Linked DNA regions of Caenorhabditis elegans. The protein of the gene in region 1 interacts with the protein of each later gene in a pairwise test. Each region holds a gene or a part of one and is shown in the gene's direction. Other genes may lie near its edges.

Region 1 (4,062 bases):
AATAAAACTGAAATATATGTATGATGAGAACATAAAATTCGTGGAAGAAGTTATGAGTGGGAACTGAGCGCTATCAAATTTTTCAAAGTGAAAAATTATTACAGTATTTTTCATATCACTGAAAGCGCCTTTAAAAAAATAGAATTATCAATAAAATACAAAATTAATATATTTTCAGGTAGCGTTCAATTTATGAAAAAAACAGGAGACGAACAGTAATAAAACAATATTACACAATTTGTTTCAGGTTTGCTTTGACACCCTGTACCAAAACATTTCAACAATTTTTATTCATTGATTGTCTGATGGGAAAAAGAAATATCGATAAGTGATTGAAATGGAAATCTTCTCTTGTCGGGTTTCATTTGGATTTTGAACTTGCTAAAAAATTTCACCTTTTCGGGTAACGTTCTCGTGAACATGGACTGTGAACAGGTGGTAAATAAATACGCTAGTAGGCACGCAGGCAGGCTGTGGCAAGCCTACATTCAAACACCATCTATGGTAGAATCAACTTAGAAATGTGAGAGCTAATTTGCTGAAAATCCTGAAAGTTTCTATAATTTTTTCTTTTTATATTTTCAGAGAGCTTATTTTAAGGGAGTTTAAATCCCAAAATGCTTTGTAAATTATATTTTTATTAGATTTTTCCAGAAAAATTGAACAACTGCATATCTTGCAAATTGCAAGTTTACTTCGAAAAAAATTGAACTCTTCTGGCTTCAGATTCAATTTTTAAAATACTTTCTGCTATTAATTATTTCAGATAATTTGAATTCATTTCCCACATCACGTTCAAGAAGGCTTTTTTTCTTTTAGCCCAATCTCCAACCATTTTTTTCAATCCAATCAACATTTGTAGCACTACAGTGTAGTCAGTGTGTGTCAATCTGTTCCCTTTCTCTAAAGAAAACATCACAGTCCATTGTTCCGCACAGTTGATTTACTTGTGTATTTACTTTCAGTGCCTATCCTATTTGTAGTGCACAAATGAGAGCATTTTTATAAATGAAAAGAGTCTTCTAGTTCAAGGTATTTTGGTCAAATTACATGTTTCAATTTTCAAACAGTATAAGTTTCAATTTTTGAACATTTTAGATTTTCAATTCCTAATATTTTTTATTTACATTTCACAAATCACTCGCTACTCGGGAAACATCGCAGTTAGTGAAATATGAGAAAAAATTAGACTTTTCCAACACGGGATGCTCGCAATATTTAATTTTCCAATGAAAAGTTGCTCTTTAATCTGGTGAAAAAAAATTTTAGACTATGCTGCCTTACGGCTTATGCATAATTTTTTATTTTTTATTCATAATCTCTTCCTTAGTAGCCCACATAACTTATTTTTATTTCTTGTTTCAAGGTTTTAAAATCTGGTTTATTTTATATCAATTTTGCCAAAAATTTTCAAATCCTTGCATATTAAATTCAAAAGTGATCAATGATGTTATCAATAGGGAAACCATATGACGAGGCGAAAGGTGATAAAATGATCTGATTATTGTATTATTGAGTGGTGGCCGCCGTATTTTCACTTTGTTTCACTTCAGCCAACTTGAATTGTTAGTATCTTTTTATAGATTTTTCTTACTATTGATTGTTCATTTATTAAATAGAACTTATTATACCTGAATAAATAACATTTTCATGTTTCTTATGACATTTAGCTAATTCCACTTTGGATTATCCGTCTTTCTATTTTTCAACAAACTCATTTCCCTAATATTTTTATCATCACACATTTTCAACTTTCTTTTCAGAAAAATGCCTTCCCCAACTCATTTATTAAACAATTTCGAAAGTTCTTCTTCCCAAGGACCACCTTCATATTGTCTGATTTGTTGTGAAGTTGCTGATGGACATCATTTTGGAGCAGCAGCATGTAGGCAAGTTTTTTGTATGTTCCTGTAATATATCTACAGTAACCCAACTGTAAACGTGTTAAATATTCACAAAACGTGTACCTTGTGAGCAGAAGAAGCGCTGACAAAAAATATGTGGGCGGACCTCGGTCGATGTCGGCTGCAAATTTACTTTTTTTTCTCAAATAAATTTAACGATTATGTTTCAGAGCCTGCGCTGCATTCTTCCGACGCACAGTCCAACTGAATAAGGTCCACGATTGTCCGAAAAATGGTCAATGTTTTATCTTATCAAGTGAGTATCTATAACTACACCACTACAATTTGTATGGTCCGAACTACACATATTCAGATGTGCGTAACATGTGTAGAGCCTGTAGGTACGAGAAATGTCTCGAAGTGGGAATGCAACGATCATCTGTACAACAGAAACGTGATCAACTGGGGAGGCGAGACGGTTTACCGACGAACCGTGAAGAACCAGTTCTGGACACTATGCGGAGGGCGTATGAAAAGTTACTAGTTGTCAGGAAGAAGGTTCATAACCGGCAGGAGGTAGGGGTGATTTTATACGGATATTTGGATATTGTTAAAGGATGAAATCTGAACTTATGCTTTACATTTTTTTAATTAAAAAATACTCACAGTGAGGGTCGAACCCCCTAACTTTGTGTACAAGAAAACTCCCACTGCGCCGTTTGGGAAATTAAAAAAAAAAAAACTTTAAGAACCTCGAACATAAATTACAGAGTTTCATTTCGAAATTTTCAAAAAAATTACCAAAAGCTTAAAACTTTTTTCCAGAACCAACTTCCCCGAGCCATCAGTTTCAACGAGCTTCAAGTAGTGTATCAAAATGAGATGACTGTAATTTATCAATTCCTTTGCGAAGCATTTCCCGAGTACTCTGAGCTCCTTCCAGACACAAAACGATCGCTTTTTAAGAATTTTTTCCTACCATTCACACTTTTGGAGAGCTCATATTATGGATATTTGACGAGTAAGTTCCACTTTTTAGATAAAAATTAAAATTAAATCAAAAACTGAAATTTCAGAGCAAGAAAATGTGATGCTCATTCCTTCGGGCGACTACGTTGATTTGGCTCATCTAGAGTCATATTTCAACAATAATCATCACACGTTTTCTCAAAAAGACACTATTTCGATGTTTGCTCAGCAATTTCGAATGCTCCACACTTCTATAACTGTTCCGTTGAGTGCTGAAAATGTAGATGTTAATGAGTTTCTAGCTCTAGCGGCTATAATTCTCTGGGAATCCGATTTAGAAGTAGAAGCCGATCGGAAGAATGTTCAAGAGGAAGCTGTGAAGATTAAGAGCGCTATTATCAAGGATCTACTTTTTCACTATCAATCTATAAATGTATACGCTGACGTGGCAATGAGGCTTGGCGCTGTTTTGTCCATACTTCCTTCAATTCAGGTTTGCTGCTCGCGGAGCAACAATTTTTTGATTATAAGCTCAAAAGTTGTTTCAGAGAGCCAGTCACCGTTTCCACGAGTATATGGAAATCAAAAATCTGCTCAATTTGTATGCTCTGCCCAAGAATCTCTACGACATGTTCTCGCCAACTTCCTGAATTTTAATGTTTTTTTTAAATTTATTTTCTTAGTGTACAATAAACAAGTATTATTTTTATTTGTCTATAAAATTAAAACTTTTGTTAGAATTGTCCTGAAAAGCAGAAGTGGGGAATAAGAAGAAGAAATGTGCCGAATAAATGTACCGAACAATGCGACTTTGCAGTTGAGCAACTTTTTGAAATTTTTAATCAAAAGTAATGCTATTTTCAGAAAAAATAACTTTGGCAAATCCATAAGAAGGAGAGGATTTCGCAAATTCTGTTAATGCGCTCTGGTGGAGCATGCTCAGTTTAAAAAAAAGAGTATAATTTCGGAAAGCTGTGCAAACACGCCATGCAATTTTATAATTTTCAATAGGCACACGAGGTATAAAAGCATGCCACAACCATTGTTTTTCAAGAGTTTGTTGAGTTCTGAAATAACATCAGATTAAGCTGGAGTCCGATTTGCCTTTATGACTAATGAGCCTCGTGAATATATAATATATTGTCTCGTTAGCTCTCAGAGTGTTTGATCATATTCAAAACGTGTGTAATGAGTTCTATTTGGCAGACACATCACACAACAAATCTACCTCCAACTTTTTGATCTTACA
Region 2 (4,301 bases), on another chromosome or scaffold:
TTTTGCAAGTTTTGGCCAGTTTTTCCAATTAAAATGCACTAGATGATTTTTTAAACAATATGAGTTTATTATTTTTTAAGAAAGAATTGGCTGCTTCTAATCAATGCAAAACATACAAAAAAGAGAAAAATCAAACATCACAACTCATTTATGTAGTGTACTCCCCATGACTCGCCTACCAACTTGACTGTTTGTCCAAGAAATCGACAATTTGTCAGGTTAAAAGACAATGGGTTAATGTCTGGAAAAGTGTCAGATGATCAGGAATTTGCTCTCGAGGAGTTTTCAAAACCGTAAAGCGATGTTTTCAATGTTGGAAATAGTGGTTCTAACTACAAAATTTATTTCAGTGAAATGAAATTAAATAAATATTTGACTATTATTTATTGGCTTCTCTTCTCATCCGGATTCGACGATTTTGGAACCAAATCTTCACCTGTAATGTGCTACGTCTCGGAAAATTATTGAATGATAACAACTGATTTAAAAATTTTTTATTTTTTTCCTAGATTGATCTAATCACATCTTTACAACATACAATCGGATATGTTAGACTTAACGTAGAAGTTGCTGGAGCTCAGCCTGGTGGATAAATTTCGCAAACAATTTTAATAGAGAATAGATTTCTAAAAACAATAGAAACCTGATATTCATCTAGACTCAAAATCCTTGCCAATCTTTCCCTTTCATCACATCCAACATACTGACTTTGTGCAAAATACATTTCGAGTAAATATAGTTGTTCCACTGTAAATGTGGTTCTTCTACGTGGAATTCTGGAGGTTGAAGCTTCTGGTCTAACCATCATCAGTAAGAATGTAAAGACCATTTCGTGTTTCATATTTATGCCGTCAATTGTCAGTACAAGGGGCCGCCCGTTTTCGTTTCGTTTCGTTTAAATTATAGGGAATACATTATAAAATCACACCTTTTGTGTATATCTTCGTAGTTTTATTGGACATTTTAATAGGCCTTGTTTATAAAAGAAAATATAATAATGATGACATTATACAAAAAAGTATTCAAGGAATGTTTTATAGTTACAAAACCTATAGGTATACAGAATATGTCAAAATAGGGGAAAAAACTGAATGTATGCAGTCGACGAATAAGGTTGTCTTGACATTTTTTTGGTTAATAATGTTTTTCCTGCCAGTTTCGATATCTTTGAAATTTTGATCCAGATGACATCAATCCTAGCTATGGAATAATGGGGGAACTCTCTTTAAATTCACAACTTCATTCGAGCAAAATTTGTCTTTTGCACACGAAAAATTATTATTATTATTGCACAATCAAATATTTTTCCCCCGTGCAAGTGTGCAATGGGGCGACGGGTCGAGCCAGAAACCCGTGTTGTTGAAAATCAAACCAAGTGCAAAATATCCATTTTGCTTAATTTAAAACGATCTAGGATAACTCCACTAGCAACTAGAATATCTAATTGAAGGATTGAAATTTGGAAACTTACAATAAGGTATTCTATTTTATTACGTTTTCAATCTTGCTAGGAAAACTTGGAAAAAAAATCCATAAACGTTTCCCGGTTATTTCAGAAATCGATAGTCGACCTCCGTTGTTCCTTATCTAAATTTCATCAATTGTATCCTTTTTGATAAGACAATACTATCTTTTTATCACTACGTCTCCTTCACTCTAAATCCTAATGTAGTATCAATCAATTTGATGAAAAGACTACACTGGGGCCCACTTATTTTCTTTTTCAATCAAAATTCACACTTTATTTTATATATTTCTTGTAAATTGTATTTTTCTTCATTTTTAATTCTACTTTTTTTCAACAATTAACTCTCGAATTCTTCAATTTTTTACAGAATGAAAGGAGTTGTAGAAGGACAATGTGGACAGCAGAATGCTCTTGTCGGGTTAGCTAACACATTTGGAACATCCAATCAAAGAGTCGCTCCGAGTAATGGTAAGCTGGAAATATTCAAGTAAAAATTAACAAAAAAAAAAGTTTTTAGCTGCAGCTTCTCTTCTCCCATCTTCTTCTATGGGAGAACAAATGGCTAATGAATTTTTAAGACAACAAGCGAGAACAATGGCTCCAACAAGTTTCAGCATGAAGTCGATGCAGAATAATTTACCACAGGCATCAGCATCCTCAAGTTTGGCAGCAAATTGGACAAAGGAGTTTCAACCGCGACAGGTATTTCTAATGCATTCATATATTGGTATTTTCAATTGATTGCTTCAGAACCAGTTAGCGAGTCAATGGAGTCAACAATACACATCTAGTGCTCCAAGCATGGAATCTGCATGGCGTCAAGTTCAAGCTCCATCAATGACATCCACGTCATCACATCAACCAATAACAGATGCTGGTATGTGGTCATCTGAATATCTGGATACTGTGGATACTTCTTTAACCAAATCTTCTGGGACTCAAAACTGGGCTGATGATTTTATGGAGCAACAAGATAATTATGGAATGGAAAACACTTGGAAAGATGCACAGGCTTTTGAACAGAGATGGGAGGAAATTAAGAGAGATATGGAAAAGGACGAATCTCTTCAAAGTCCTGAAAACTATGTTTATCAGGTAAGATTTTTGTCTTCTTTAACACATTTTTATAACCCTCCTATTCAGGAAGCAAACCCTTTCACAACCATGTCAGATCCACTGATGGAAGGAGACAATCTAATGAGAAATGGAGATATTGGAAATGCCATGCTTGCCTATGAAGCAGCAGTTCAAAAAGATCCTCAGGATGCACGTGCCTGGTGTAAATTAGGATTGGCTCATGCTGAAAATGAAAAAGATCAGTTAGCAATGCAAGCGTTCCAAAAATGTTTGCAGATTGACGCTGGAAACAAGGAGGTAAAATTTGAGAAAAATATTTGATTATTTGATGCCATAAAATAGATAGGTCGCGATAAAATTCATATCTGTCTCTTAAAACTTTTTAAGAACAGAAATTAAGAAAAAAAAAAAAAAACTTCCAATAAAATCAAAATTATTTCAGGCACTTCTTGGTTTGTCTGTCAGTCAAGCGAACGAAGGAATGGAAAATGAAGCTTTACATCAATTGGATAAATGGATGTCTTCTTACTTGGTATTTCTTATTTTTATTTCAAGAATAATCCCACACGAATAAATATTTTAAGGGTTCAAACTCGACTCAAGTGACAACCACACCTCCACTCTACTCTTCATTTCTGGACAGTGACACTTTTAATCGAGTTGAGGCTAGATTCTTGGATGCTGCTCGGCAACAAGGAGCAACTCCAGATCCAGATCTTCAAAATGCTCTCGGAGTTTTATACAACTTGAATCGCAATTTTGCAAGAGCTGTCGACTCTCTCAAGTTGGCGATCTCCAAAAATCCAACTGATGCTCGTCTCTGGAATCGTCTTGGTGCTACGTTAGCCAATGGTGACCACACAGCTGAAGCCATTTCAGCATATCGAGAAGCTTTGAAATTGTATCCAACATATGTCAGAGCAAGATACAATTTGGGAATATCTTGTATGCAATTATCATCTTATGATGAAGCTTTGAAACATTTTTTATCTGCATTAGAATTGCAAAAAGGAGGAAATGATGCATCTGGTATTTGGACAACTATGAGGTTAGTTTATAGCTTTATATGTTAAAATCACCTTCACAAATTTCAGATCAGCAGCAATCCGAACATCGAATGTCCCTGACAATTTACTGAGAGCAGTGGAAAGACGAGATTTGGCAGCTGTAAAAGCCTCTCTAGTCTAGAATAATTACAATTTAAATACTAAAATAAATAATTATTTTTCCTCGAATTTTTTTACTTGGTTTTCAAACTTTCATTTTGAAAATCTCAATTTCAAGCCGATCACGAGTTTGGAAGGGTCATAAAATGTTATTACAGCGGTAAGAAAGCAGGAAGTAAACCGACCTAGCACAAAAAGTGTTCAGCTCATTTTGTTTTGTTTGTAGAACTCACATTGTTAGAGCTCAATGAAATGATTGAATAATGCCTAAATTAAAATAACATTCTTCAAGACTTCTAGACACTAAGTAATCAAATCCTATCATTTCTCTTACGGTGAATTTCTACAAAATGCTCAGAAATTCCACATGAGTCACCGTTCCATGAGTAAAACCTCGGAACATATGACTGATTCTATTTATTATCATCTTTCCGCCACCCTCTTCCAAACGTCTCACTCTTTTCTATTTGCCGGTCATCGAACACATTCTTCCTTTTCTCTTTCTGTCTTTGAAGCACATGACATGGCCATTTATCATGAAAAGGTACAGCTGGTTGAAGAAGAAGAAGATCCGAGAGAAACAGCTCCAA
Region 3 (3,279 bases), on another chromosome or scaffold:
CCACTGTACCCAACATCACAAATGCAGCCTGCGTTGTCTGGAGTCGTGGTTCCGCCATTGAGACAAAGAGGAATCTCGCAGTTACCGCCGGTGAAAAATTCGCCACAATAACATCCCTGAAAAAATGTAGTGCTATTAGTAATCTCATACATATAAAGATGACATTTTCCTACATATGTATAAAAATTGCAAAAAGTGAAACTTCAAATATCCATATTCTAAGACTTTTTTTCAATCTGCTCCAATTTCTCAAATCTGTTTAAATTTTTGACAAATGTTAATCAGTTTTCGGCTATTTTTGATGTCACTTGGTCTTAGAGCTTATATAGCTTAACAGTCAAAAAAGTTACGCACTTGGAACAAAAAATGCTCTAAAATTTCCAGATAAGAATTGGAAAGGTTTTGATTTGTTCCTTTCATGAATTGTGGTTTTCAATTGTTTGTTTTAAAACTATTTTCAAAAATGCAGCTTGCGATCATTCATGTGTTGTTCGTAGTTTGTGACGTCAATTTTAAAATCTTCAAGAAATACTTGCATTTCTATAAAATTGATTTGAAATTTTGAAGCCTAAATTACTGTCAAAAATTTTGATTCGAAGGTTTTCTAAAACAATGAGTGATTTCGGGCGTTATATCAAATATCCAAATATATAAAATTTCATAAAACTACTATAAACTATATGCTAGAAACTCGTATTTATACTAGAAATACTAGAAACTAGAAACTATAAAAACCTGGAACATCAAATAAATTTAATGTCAGACTACAACCCTTTAAACTACATACCAACGATTTATTAGTTTGAGCTTCAAGAATTTTATATTCTTAAGAGGGACGCACAAAAAATCACTCTTCACACTATTTCTTTGTTGAATAGAGGTCAGCGGCTTTTAAAAATTATAATTTGAAAAAAAATTGGGACTTTTTCAAAAAAAAAGCTTCCAAACGTCCCTATTAGGAAATGTAAACTTATTCCCAAAAAATTAAAAATTCCAGAGAAAGTAGACAAATTTCAGAAAACTTACCGCGCTACATCTAATACTTTCTCATAGGTTTTTTTATTGGGAAACTGATGAAAATTATTTGAATTCATAATAAAATAAATTCGTATTTAGCATTTGAAAATTTGCACCAATGTATTATTTAATTTTTTTTTTCGAAAATTTAACGCATTTTCTCTCTAAAAACTCGAAATTTAGTGTGTTCTAAACAACAGTAAGCATACAATACCTTTGTTCAAAATTGACGTGCTTTCTGAACCAATATGGTTAGTTTCAAAAATTTTTGTATTATAGGATAGAAATATTTGGAAATAAATTTTAAAACCAAACTTATGCCTTTCTCTTTTAGTATCCCAGCTAGGTAATATTTTAGTATTTGCCCAAATCCTTGAAGTAAGGAGTATATAATTTTTGAAAAACAATAAAACTCCAGATAATTCATAGTTTTTTCTCGAAAGAAAATTTTTGAGATTAGTTATTGAACTTCATTTTTGAACATTATTCGTTGAAAAACACTCGCTTTGTCTTTATTTTCAAAAAAATTCCGATTTCCCCAACCAGAAAAAAAAACAGATAGAAGAAATTTCTCCTTAAATTTCATTGTCCATCTCTCTTGGAAACACATTATCTATCAAATGAAAAACGCATTTTTTTTCCTGGCAGAAAAATGAAATTGGTTAGATTACACTGGTTAGGTTTGAAGGTGTAACTTTCGCTTTCTCAGCAACTTTCAGTATAAAAGGAAACGGTCACCATTTAGAAAGACATCAGTTCATCAACATGGGCAAGCTCATTGTGGTTGGATCCTGCGGAGTACTTGTGTGCGTTCTTGCCTCGCTTTACACCATCGGAAACCTTCTCAATGAGATCGAGGAGCTTCAAGTTGAGTTCCAGGATGGTATGGTTGAATTTAGAGTAAGTTTTACATAAAGGAAGTTAGTGTTGTTATCAATTCACTTTGTGTTCAGGCTATCACCCAAGACACCTGGGCTCGTATGGTGAGCAAGCACATCAACCCAACCGGACACACAAATGCTCCACCAACCTTTGAGACTCTCTTCGGAGCCCGTACCGCTCGTCAAGCTGGATTCGAGCAATGTAACTGCGGACCAAAATCCGAGGGTTGCCCAGCTGGACCACCAGGACCACCAGGAGAGGGTGGACAGAAGGGAAATCCAGGACACGATGGAGACGATGGAAAGCCAGGAGCTCCTGGAGTTATTGTTGCCATCACCCACGATATTCCAGGAGGATGCATCAAGTGCCCACCAGGACGTCCAGGACCAAAAGGACCATCAGGACTTCCAGGATCTGCTGGACCAGCCGGAGGAAACGGAAGACGCGGACCACCAGGACCAGTTGGAGGACCAGGAGAGCAAGGACCACAGGGAGATGCAGGAAGACCAGGAGCCGCCGGACGTCCAGGACCAGCAGGACCACGTGGAGAACCAGGAACCGAGTACAAGCCAGGACAGCCAGGACGTCCAGGACCACAAGGACCACGCGGAGAAACCGGACCAGCCGGAAATCCAGGAGCACCAGGAAACGATGGAGAGGCTGGAAAGAACGGAAACGCCGGAAGACCAGGACCACCAGGGCATCCAGGAAAGAATGGAGTTCCAGGACAAAAGGGAGAGGATGCCGCACCAGGACCAGATGCTGGATATTGTCCATGCCCATCTCGTGCAGCTTACAAGGCTTAATTCTGCCTTTCTCTGTCTTTTTTATAAATTTTCGAACATTCCAAATTGTGTTCTGTTTCTGCACTTTTTTTTAAATTGCAATTTCACATGCAAATCAAAATACTTCAGCTTTTCAAATCTGGCAAATTTCTTTTTTTTTTTAATTTGGAACACTTTTTAAAAACCAACTCTAAAAACCAACTACTAGAATTATTTACCAAAATAGAAAATTATACCAAGATTGTCCTTCGAAATATAGTCCAGTTAAAAAAATTTTTTTGCCGGGCAGCCCCAGTCCACCTGAAAATAAAGCCACCTACGTACCGTTTCATTATACAGAATTCCTCCATTTTCACAAAACCTTGCTGGCGTCGTCGAAACGTGCACGGAAGGTGTTGTGAATGTAATTTCACTTAGGTCACAGCTAAAGTCGTAGATTCTCTGGAACCTGTTTCCATCACTATCGTATCCTAGAAACCGACAATGAGAGAAGGGAGAAAATAGAAAGGAGAAATACCTCTGAACTTGGCATGATACAAGTTTTGAGACGTACAGTTATAAGATTGTTGAGTGATATGAGGGGTACTGCAGCCGT

What was found. Proteins that work in one complex are often made in the same cells at the same time.
Region 2: the proteins of nhr-53 (region 1) and prx-5 interact in a two-hybrid assay, tested with the Caenorhabditis elegans proteins (one large-scale study listed by BioGRID).
Region 3: the proteins of nhr-53 (region 1) and col-19 interact in a two-hybrid assay, tested with the Caenorhabditis elegans proteins (one large-scale study listed by BioGRID).

The regions. Positions count from the first base shown.
Region 1 is NC_003283.11:15,700,065-15,704,126, reverse strand, and holds nhr-53 (Nuclear hormone receptor family member nhr-53), read left to right. Parts: upstream 1-1,763; 5' UTR 1,764-1,767; coding exon 1,768-1,889; intron 1,890-2,074; coding exon 2,075-2,160; intron 2,161-2,217; coding exon 2,218-2,420; intron 2,421-2,669; coding exon 2,670-2,865; intron 2,866-2,920; coding exon 2,921-3,306; intron 3,307-3,361; coding exon 3,362-3,463; 3' UTR 3,464-3,521; downstream 3,522-4,062. UniProt on the Caenorhabditis elegans protein: Orphan nuclear receptor.
Region 2 is NC_003280.10:8,702,989-8,707,289, forward strand, and holds prx-5 (TPR_REGION domain-containing protein), read left to right. Parts: upstream 1-1,835; 5' UTR 1,836-1,836; coding exon 1,837-1,936; intron 1,937-1,985; coding exon 1,986-2,170; intron 2,171-2,218; coding exon 2,219-2,563; intron 2,564-2,611; coding exon 2,612-2,842; intron 2,843-2,987; coding exon 2,988-3,077; intron 3,078-3,129; coding exon 3,130-3,593; intron 3,594-3,639; coding exon 3,640-3,733; 3' UTR 3,734-3,772; downstream 3,773-4,301. Other genes in the region: Homeobox protein ceh-7, read right to left, coding at 380-436, 644-841.
Region 3 is NC_003284.9:419,942-423,220, forward strand, and holds col-19 (Cuticle collagen 19), read left to right. Parts: upstream 1-1,765; 5' UTR 1,766-1,782; coding exon 1,783-1,917; intron 1,918-1,970; coding exon 1,971-2,705; 3' UTR 2,706-2,750; downstream 2,751-3,279. Other genes in the region: hrg-11.4 (VWFA domain-containing protein), read right to left, coding at 1-116, 3,009-3,154, 3,202-3,279. UniProt on the Caenorhabditis elegans protein: Nematode cuticles are composed largely of collagen-like proteins. The cuticle functions both as an exoskeleton and as a barrier to protect the worm from its environment.